2 linked regions of the Bombyx mori genome follow. Each later gene encodes a partner of the first gene's protein in a complex. Links are inferred from orthologs where the notes say so. Each region holds a gene or a part of one and is shown in the gene's direction. Other genes may lie near its edges.

The links. Proteins that work in one complex are often made in the same cells at the same time.
Region 2: the proteins of protein dispatched (region 1) and sonic hedgehog protein are in contact, whole or in part, in a cryo-EM structure (PDB 6TD6), measured with the Drosophila melanogaster proteins. The link is inferred for Bombyx mori from reciprocal best matches to the Drosophila melanogaster genes disp and hh. Residues at the interface, in NP_524734.2 of Drosophila melanogaster: His77, His78, Arg250, Tyr253, Glu296, Ala404, Gln405, Ser406, Asn407, Arg408, Gly434, Asn755; in NP_001034065.1 of Drosophila melanogaster: Tyr100, Pro101, Val103, Leu104, Lys105, Gln106, Thr107, Asn110, Leu111, Ser117, Glu164, Lys165, Val168, Ala228, Gly229.

The regions. Positions count from the first base shown.
Region 1 is NC_085128.1:4,459,642-4,463,885, reverse strand, and holds the start of protein dispatched, read left to right. Parts: upstream 1-1,444; 5' UTR 1,445-1,500; intron 1,501-2,722; 5' UTR 2,723-2,963; coding exon 2,964-4,244. UniProt on the Drosophila melanogaster protein: Segment polarity protein which functions in hedgehog (Hh) signaling.
Region 2 is NC_085115.1:6,288,086-6,291,585, forward strand, and holds part of sonic hedgehog protein, read left to right. Parts: intron 1-410; coding exon 411-521; intron 522-1,483; coding exon 1,484-1,634; intron 1,635-3,500.

The DNA.
Region 1 (4,244 bases):
CGGTGTATTTTGGTCGCACGTTGCAGAAGTAGACTTTTGTCAGTTTCCTACCACTGTGTCAGTTAATGAGAGTGAGGGAGCTCATATAGAGTCCCTTCTTTATTTCGCCGTAAAGTCGTGTTTTATATAATTAACACCACAGTTGAAACAATATAAATTTTATTGTTTTAGCGGCATAAACAATTCTAAGTAATTATATTACATTAGTTATTAAACACATTATAAATTATTTTTTACGTTTTAAATATTTGGCGGTAAAAAGGTCCCGTGTCACATACTTTATTCTTTTTCCCACATCTCGTGCGTTCCGGCTTACGCATCATAAAAATGTGCGTTCATAAACGCCACAAGAGTCTGGTCCATAGCACGAAAGAGAAGGCTGACTTTCTGATTTAGCTCTGTTGGACGGTTAAATTTGAGTGGAATGGGTTCTGTAGGTGAGGGACTATTTAAAAACACTCTAGCTTCATGATTAATATAATTATATTGCAAATACTTTGTACACTATTACACCATTACAATATTTTATTTTTATAAAAACCCTACGATGTTGCACTGCCCGTATTTAGATGAGAAGTCATTGTCATCACTCAAGAGAAGACAAATATCTGTTTTAAACATTTAAATAAGAATTCCAATATTCGAAATATGTAACCTTACATGTGTCAAGTGTTGCCTGCCACTGCTTACATATTCAAACTCCAACAAGCTCTTCGCGTTAAAGTCGACTAGGGGGACAGAAGAGCCACACCAACGAACAACTCCTGGTGTAATAACTTCTTGCTGGCCGTTTCACACAGTGTGCAGTCACTGCAGTCAGGCCTGAGCTCTGGCTCCTGGAAGTTCATAAGTTGAGTGAGCCAAATTGTATCCCCGTAGAAGTTTTGGGGGAGGCCTATGTTCTATGGCAGTGGACGTCTGTGGACTGATGAAAAGAAGAAGAAGAGGTTTTGAAAGCTTGTGCCCCATTAACATCTGCACTAATGTTTAATGTCTCTTCGGGCTTAAATTTGTAATAACGGTCGTTTATTAGGTTTTTAACTTCTGTAAAAATGCACGGAGAAAATGAAACAAAGCTGCTGGACGTTTCTTTTCGGGATGTGCTTGAAAAAAACGAACATTTTATTGAGACTATATATTATTATCATCCTATACAATCTCATTTCATTGAATTTCATTTCAATTGATTAATGTCTCAAAATAATCAACTTTAATTCATTTCGCTCCTTATCATTTTTCATAAAACAAAAATAACAAAAGAGTGGGCTATACGTTGTGATATATTTGCCTCTTTAGTCGGAAAAATGGAATTACCACTGAAAAAGTAACAAAAGAGTGGGCTGTACGTTGTGATATCTTTGCCTCTCTAGTCGGAAAAATAGAATTACCACTGAAAAAGTGACAATAATGAATTAATGACATTTTTGGCGGGAACGCGAAGAGTGAAACTGTGTGATTTGTTTTATTTTGTCTATTTATTGTTTCTTCATGTTTAAATGTGTAATAACGGTGGTTTATTAACTGTTTAATATCTGTGAAAGATCCTAGAAAAAGTGAACTGAAAAAGTTTCATTAAATGACCACCATTTTACTGAGATTATATTATATCTCATATCATCTCATTTCATGCCATGTTTCATATTAATCAATTTCATTTCATTTCAAATTATCATTTTTCATTTAAAAAATATATATATGTATATATATCGACGCTTGAAAGGCAAACGTGACTAAGCGACAATGCGTGAACTTTATAATTATAAAGTTGAAATACCTGAAAACAAAATTTATTTTAACGAATCTAGCTGTAGTAGAATCTAGCTAGTAGCTGTAGGATTGAAATGATTTTAATAGACCTAGAAATATTTTTTTTTTGCGCATCGAATATGGTTATTGCCTATCATCTATGTACATTTTTTTTTTTTTTTTTTTTTCCTACCTAGGCTGAGAGCCTTGAGAGGCTATGTCAGCGTAACCCTAACTTTTGTAGGTGAGCTCACGGGGCTCAAACCTGATGACGTTGCTAACACGAACCCTAGCAAGAGCCGTGCTTCGCAGAATCTACCACCGGATCGGGCGACCCACTGAGAAGATCCGGCGAGAAACTCAGTGGGCTGTGTCTGAGAGTTAGTTTACTCGTCGAGCCCTTCGTCGCAAGCGACGGATTCGACGAGAACGGTGACCGGTGCTTGAAGTACCTAGAAGCACCGTTAGTGGATCGGGAGGATCCGAGATGACGTGTTTTGGGCGACGTCGACTGCTTTCCATTCTGTCCGCAGGATCGGGAATGTAGTTACCGGCGGCCACGATGAGAGGGTTCTCGTGTCGTGCCGCTTTATCGAAGTGGCGCATTGACGCCGACTGCATATACTTACTGGTGGACTCTAAGTCCAGGTCGTCATGGAGGTCGACGTTCCTGACGAACCACGGGGCTCCGACGGCTATCCTGCAAAAACGGGATTGAATGATTTGGAATGACTTTAAGTGAGTGCGGGCCGCGTGAGCGAATACTACACTTGCATAGGTCATGACGGGGCGTATGCAAGTTTTGTAGAGTGTCACCTTATTTCTAAGGGACATTTTACTTCGCCTACATATCATCGGGTAGATCTATGTACAAAGCGGTTATTGTCGCTTAGTCACGTTTGCCTTTCAAGCGTCGATATATAAAAGATTATGCTTTATGGTATTTACCTTTATGGTAATACCTTTGCCTTTCCAGTTGGAAAAATAAAACTACTATTTTTGACAAGTGACAACAATGACATTTAACAATCAGAAATAGATTAGAGACAAGGAATCCTACATTATTTACGATTTGTTTAGTGATTTTGTGAAATTCTACTTTTTTATTTTTTTGCAATATGTAAACCCATTTGAATATTGTACATGCATTTGCATAAGTTAAAATGCCGAAAAAATTAATGCTTTATCGTGAGAAAATGGATTGAAACTCGAATAATATGCAGTTCGAGATGTTGGCCGCTTATTCCAGGTTTATTGTTCGTCATTCTTACCTCGTTCTTTTTACTGTAAGTATTTTGTCCATCGTACTTACTGTGATCCCGCTAATTCTACACGAGCTACCCTCATTTTCTGATCCCATAGTCGGATTTGAAACCCGGGGTACGACGTTAGCACATCGCTTCATTGCTTGGGAAAATCTGAATGACGAAACGAGGCCGTCCAAACGTCTTGCAGTGAACCCTAAAGAAATTGAAGATCAAATCAGAATGAACCGAACTTACTACAACAAGACTCACCAAGACAGATCTAGATCAGGACGCAGAAGGCCAAAAAAGAAGGATCGAAACAAGAAAAACAAAATGGTCCCGAATATCACAGGATTAGAAAAAACTTGGTCTGATTATAGTGAATTAAACATTTCTGATGGACATGTACATTGGGGTTTTGGAATAAATGTAACAAATGAAGATGAACATGCTGTACTACTCAAAGACCATTCCAGAAAACAGTGGTTGTCTTTGAAAAATATGCAGAGGATAGCTGACAAGCCCATCAATCTTAATTACGCTTCTGGAACGTGTGGTCCACCAATATCAGATTATGCTCACTTAGTTATTACCAACACAGATAATTCGAGTTTATTGTCATACAAGAATGTTGAGAGATTGTGTAAATTTCAGTCATATCTGGTTGAATTAGGTGGGTATGAATATTATGAATTATGTCAGAGGACAACACACTCTGAAGATATTTGCTGTCCTGTATGGAGTCTCCCAAATTATATTGCTTTAATATCTGGAAAGGATTCCTGTGTCAACTTAAACAAGGAAGATGTAAAAAAAGCTGTAACTATTTTGAAGAAATGTGCAGGATATTTTCATAATTTTACATTGATGGCTGCTTGTGATTTAGATCACTGTAATGTTCCGAAATACTGTACTCAGCACAACGCAGTCTATAATTTGTTATTTTATCTTATAGATTCAGAAGCATTTTCACCATTGAATAATGCACAAAAGTTTGTAAAGAATACAATGCTGTTTTTGCCACTTCCAAGAAGTGATACTGTATTGCCATATTATAAGAAACTGGAAAACTCAAATATGTCATATGACAATCTTGTTATACCAGCTATTGATTTTGGTTTGAAAAATGCTCTTTTTGATATTTGGATCATTGAGGATACTTGGTTGATAGCATTAGGTGGCATTTTTGTGTTTGCATGTGTGTGGATATATACAAGATCATTAATTCTCACGCTATTTCTGTTTGCCGCC
Region 2 (3,500 bases), on another chromosome or scaffold:
AGCGCGCTCGGCTTTGTCCACTTTTCTTTCTAAATATTGTGACATTTCCTTTATTCGTGCGGCAGAGTCACTTTACAAATAAATTGTGTCGATCTTTTTGTATGACGTGATTTAATTTGATTTATTCGTTCATGGCAAAATGTCCGACATCCTGCGTTGTTCTTTGGTTTAGGCGGCAACGTTTGTTACCCATTTGCTAGGACATCCTTTGATAATATATTTTATTTGATTGTTGAAAATGTTTCTTCATTTATTGGATTTACTATTTCAATTCACAAAACTTATTTTTAATGTTAATTGCTTTAACAGTGTCTATTGTAACTTGTATTCGGTTAGAATTCCTAAAATTATATAATTAAAATAAATCAATAATTGAACATGATCATAATTAAGAACATTAATATTTTCAGAGATGCAAGGAGAAATTAAACACTCTCGCAATCAGCGTTATGAACCAGTGGCCGGGAGTGCGGCTCCGTGTGATCGAAGGTTGGGACGAAGAGAATAATCATCTAGACAAGGTACATTATTCATTTCATCATTGAATGATGAGGCATGTTGTAAGCGCTGTCGATGCTGCAAAACAAAAGGAAATATAGACACTATTCCAATCGTATTTATGTATACTGCCAATGAGCACCGATGACCTGGTACAACTGAATACACTTATCATACCTGGAATAGATTGCTGCTTATCCCTAGTTTTCAGTGTCAGATGACCAGCTGTTCCACTTAATATTAAGTAAATTATACATTTCGTTACGTTTGTCTGCTTAGATTGAAGAATAGAAGCAAATAAAATAATTTGCGTTTATTACTGATGGGAGATCGAATTAAAATCGTGCACTAGCAGGTACAATCATCTTGGTAGTGCCAAGTATTTCGGTTTGAATAGCAAAGACGACTATTATACGATTTGAGACCAAAACTAAACATATTAAGAGAGGTTGTGACATTTTTATTATGATTTATATGAATTCCGATAAATATTTAACACTAGCTGGTCCTTGAGTTGTCCGCCTATCTTGAGCAATAAGCATTGGTCTAATTAGCCAGCCCGAGAGAGTAGGTGACGAAATCCTGATTATTTGTGTGACACATCATTCATGCGTTTCAGAGGAGAAACCATTAGGATAATACAATGGAGACTTCGAATTGAAATTTCCAGATGGGTAGCAAAATTTACGATTTCTATGGGCTACAGCTACCAACTTTTTTATAGACCGCTAAACCTACTCATGGCCCATCTGGTGTTAAGTGCTTACCGGAGCTCATAGACGTCGACGACACAAACAGCGCCTCCCATTTTGAGATATGAGTTCTGTAACACAACGGCTGCCTCACCTTGTATATCGGAACTGCTTCGCGACAAATAGCCGGGGCGGTGGTACTTACTAGTGCATGTTCACAAGACACACCACCACCGGCAGAACATATAAAGAGCTGATCGTAAGTAAATAATTTTATACTTTTGTTTGTACAGTCTCTCCACTACGAGGGTCGGGCTGTGGACTTAACCACCAGTGACCGAGACCGCAGCAAATACGGTATGCTGGCCCGCCTCGCTGTCGAAGCCGGCTTTGACTGGGTCTTCTATGAAAGCCGGTCTTACATTCATTGTTCTGTTAAAACAGGTGGGTGTTCAATTGAATTTCGCTTTTTATCATTTAAAATGCGCTGCTGATCGAGCAGCGTCACACTTCGCAGTCTCGGGGTTGACGACACGTGCGTCTTCAGGTTAACTGAGTCATAAATAACTTCACCACCGTGATGAGTAACTATAATATTTTTTAACACCATTATCGAGATCGGTTACAATATGAAATGTAAAATTTTTACGTTCAGTTAAACACAAATACGATGATAACGATGATATTTTTTTTCTTTTTAGTATATTTGGACCAATAACTTATGCAATGTTAGATACGTGACGTGACATAATTTACACCACTGTGATGAGTAATTACAAAATTTTTGACGCCCTTGTCAAGATCGGTTACAATATGAAATGTAGAATTTTTACGTTCAGCTAAACCCAAATACGATGATAACGATGAAATATTTTTTTTCGGTTTAATATATTAGGATCAATAACTTGTGCAATGTTAGATACGTGACGTGACATAATTTACACCACTGTGATGAGTAATTACAAAATTTTTGACGCCCTTGTCAAGATCGGTTACAATATGAAATGTAGAATTTTTACTTTCAGTTAAACCCAAATACGATGATAGCGATGATTTTTTTCTTTTTAGTATATTTGGATCAATAACTTGTGCAATGTTAGATACGTGACGTGACATAATTTACATCACTGTGATGAGTAATTACAAAATTTTTGACGCCCTTGTCAAGATCGGTTACAATATGAAATGTAAAATTTTTACGTTCAGTTAAACCCAAATACGATGATAACGATGAAAAAAAAAATTCGTTTTAATATATTTGGATCAATAACTTATACGATGTTAGATACGTGACGTGACAATTTGGATAGTGGATATTTGATTACGTAACAGTTTATTGCAGCATCATGGTTACAGCATGATGGAAAAGCGTTGATAAAACTAATTTAGGGGAAAGTGGGGGAAACGCGAACGCTGGGTAATGCCGAATTCAATGGTTCTAATATGTTAGAAAGATATATCCTAATTTTATTTGCCGCCGTTTCGGAGATCACGCCACCACTGATGCCAGTCAATAACACGAGAGACGCGGACACACGTACTTAAAAAGGTATGCATTTTTCAATATTTTGTATGTGTTAGATGTAATTTTTTGGTAAATTCAAGTTGATGTAACTTTATTTCTATCTACAATAATAATTCAGCTTTTACATAGTGGAATAATCACATATTACTCAGCTAAATGATAATGATGTAGGAGGCAAAAAAAATTTAACCAAAATTGTTTTTTGACCTTTAATTATTTTCGATTCCGCGGGGTAAAGACGAACACTCCATGTCGGGCAATCTCGAACATTCGCCGTGACACTCCCGTTTGTTAGTACCCCGTTCAACTTTTTTTTAAATATTATTACAGATGCCTTGTACTTACAAAAGAAAGACCAAACTGAAATATAGTTTAGAAGATCTCAAAAAGGCTATAGACGATGTTAAAACCAAAAACTCTCCCTGCGTAAAGCAGCAGAAACATATAATGTTCCAAAAACCACTAATTTTGACCATCTAATGAAAGAAGTGTTAATACAGCCATGGTTGGATGAAAACCTTTATTTACAGACGATCAGGAAACGTAAGAAATCAAGAAGAAAACGGAAAGATGGCAAAAAAGGAACCCAAATAAAAAGACTGAAATGTAATGAAAGAACACCTTCAAACAAGAAGTATGAAATATTATTAAAGAATTTGAACAATATAAAAAAAGACTTTAGTGACTCTAGTCAAAATACGTAAAAAAAAGAAAAAGGCGAAAAAGAAAATAAAGACTACTTTTGTATTTTTTGTAGAGATAAATATATCGATCCTCCCGTTGAA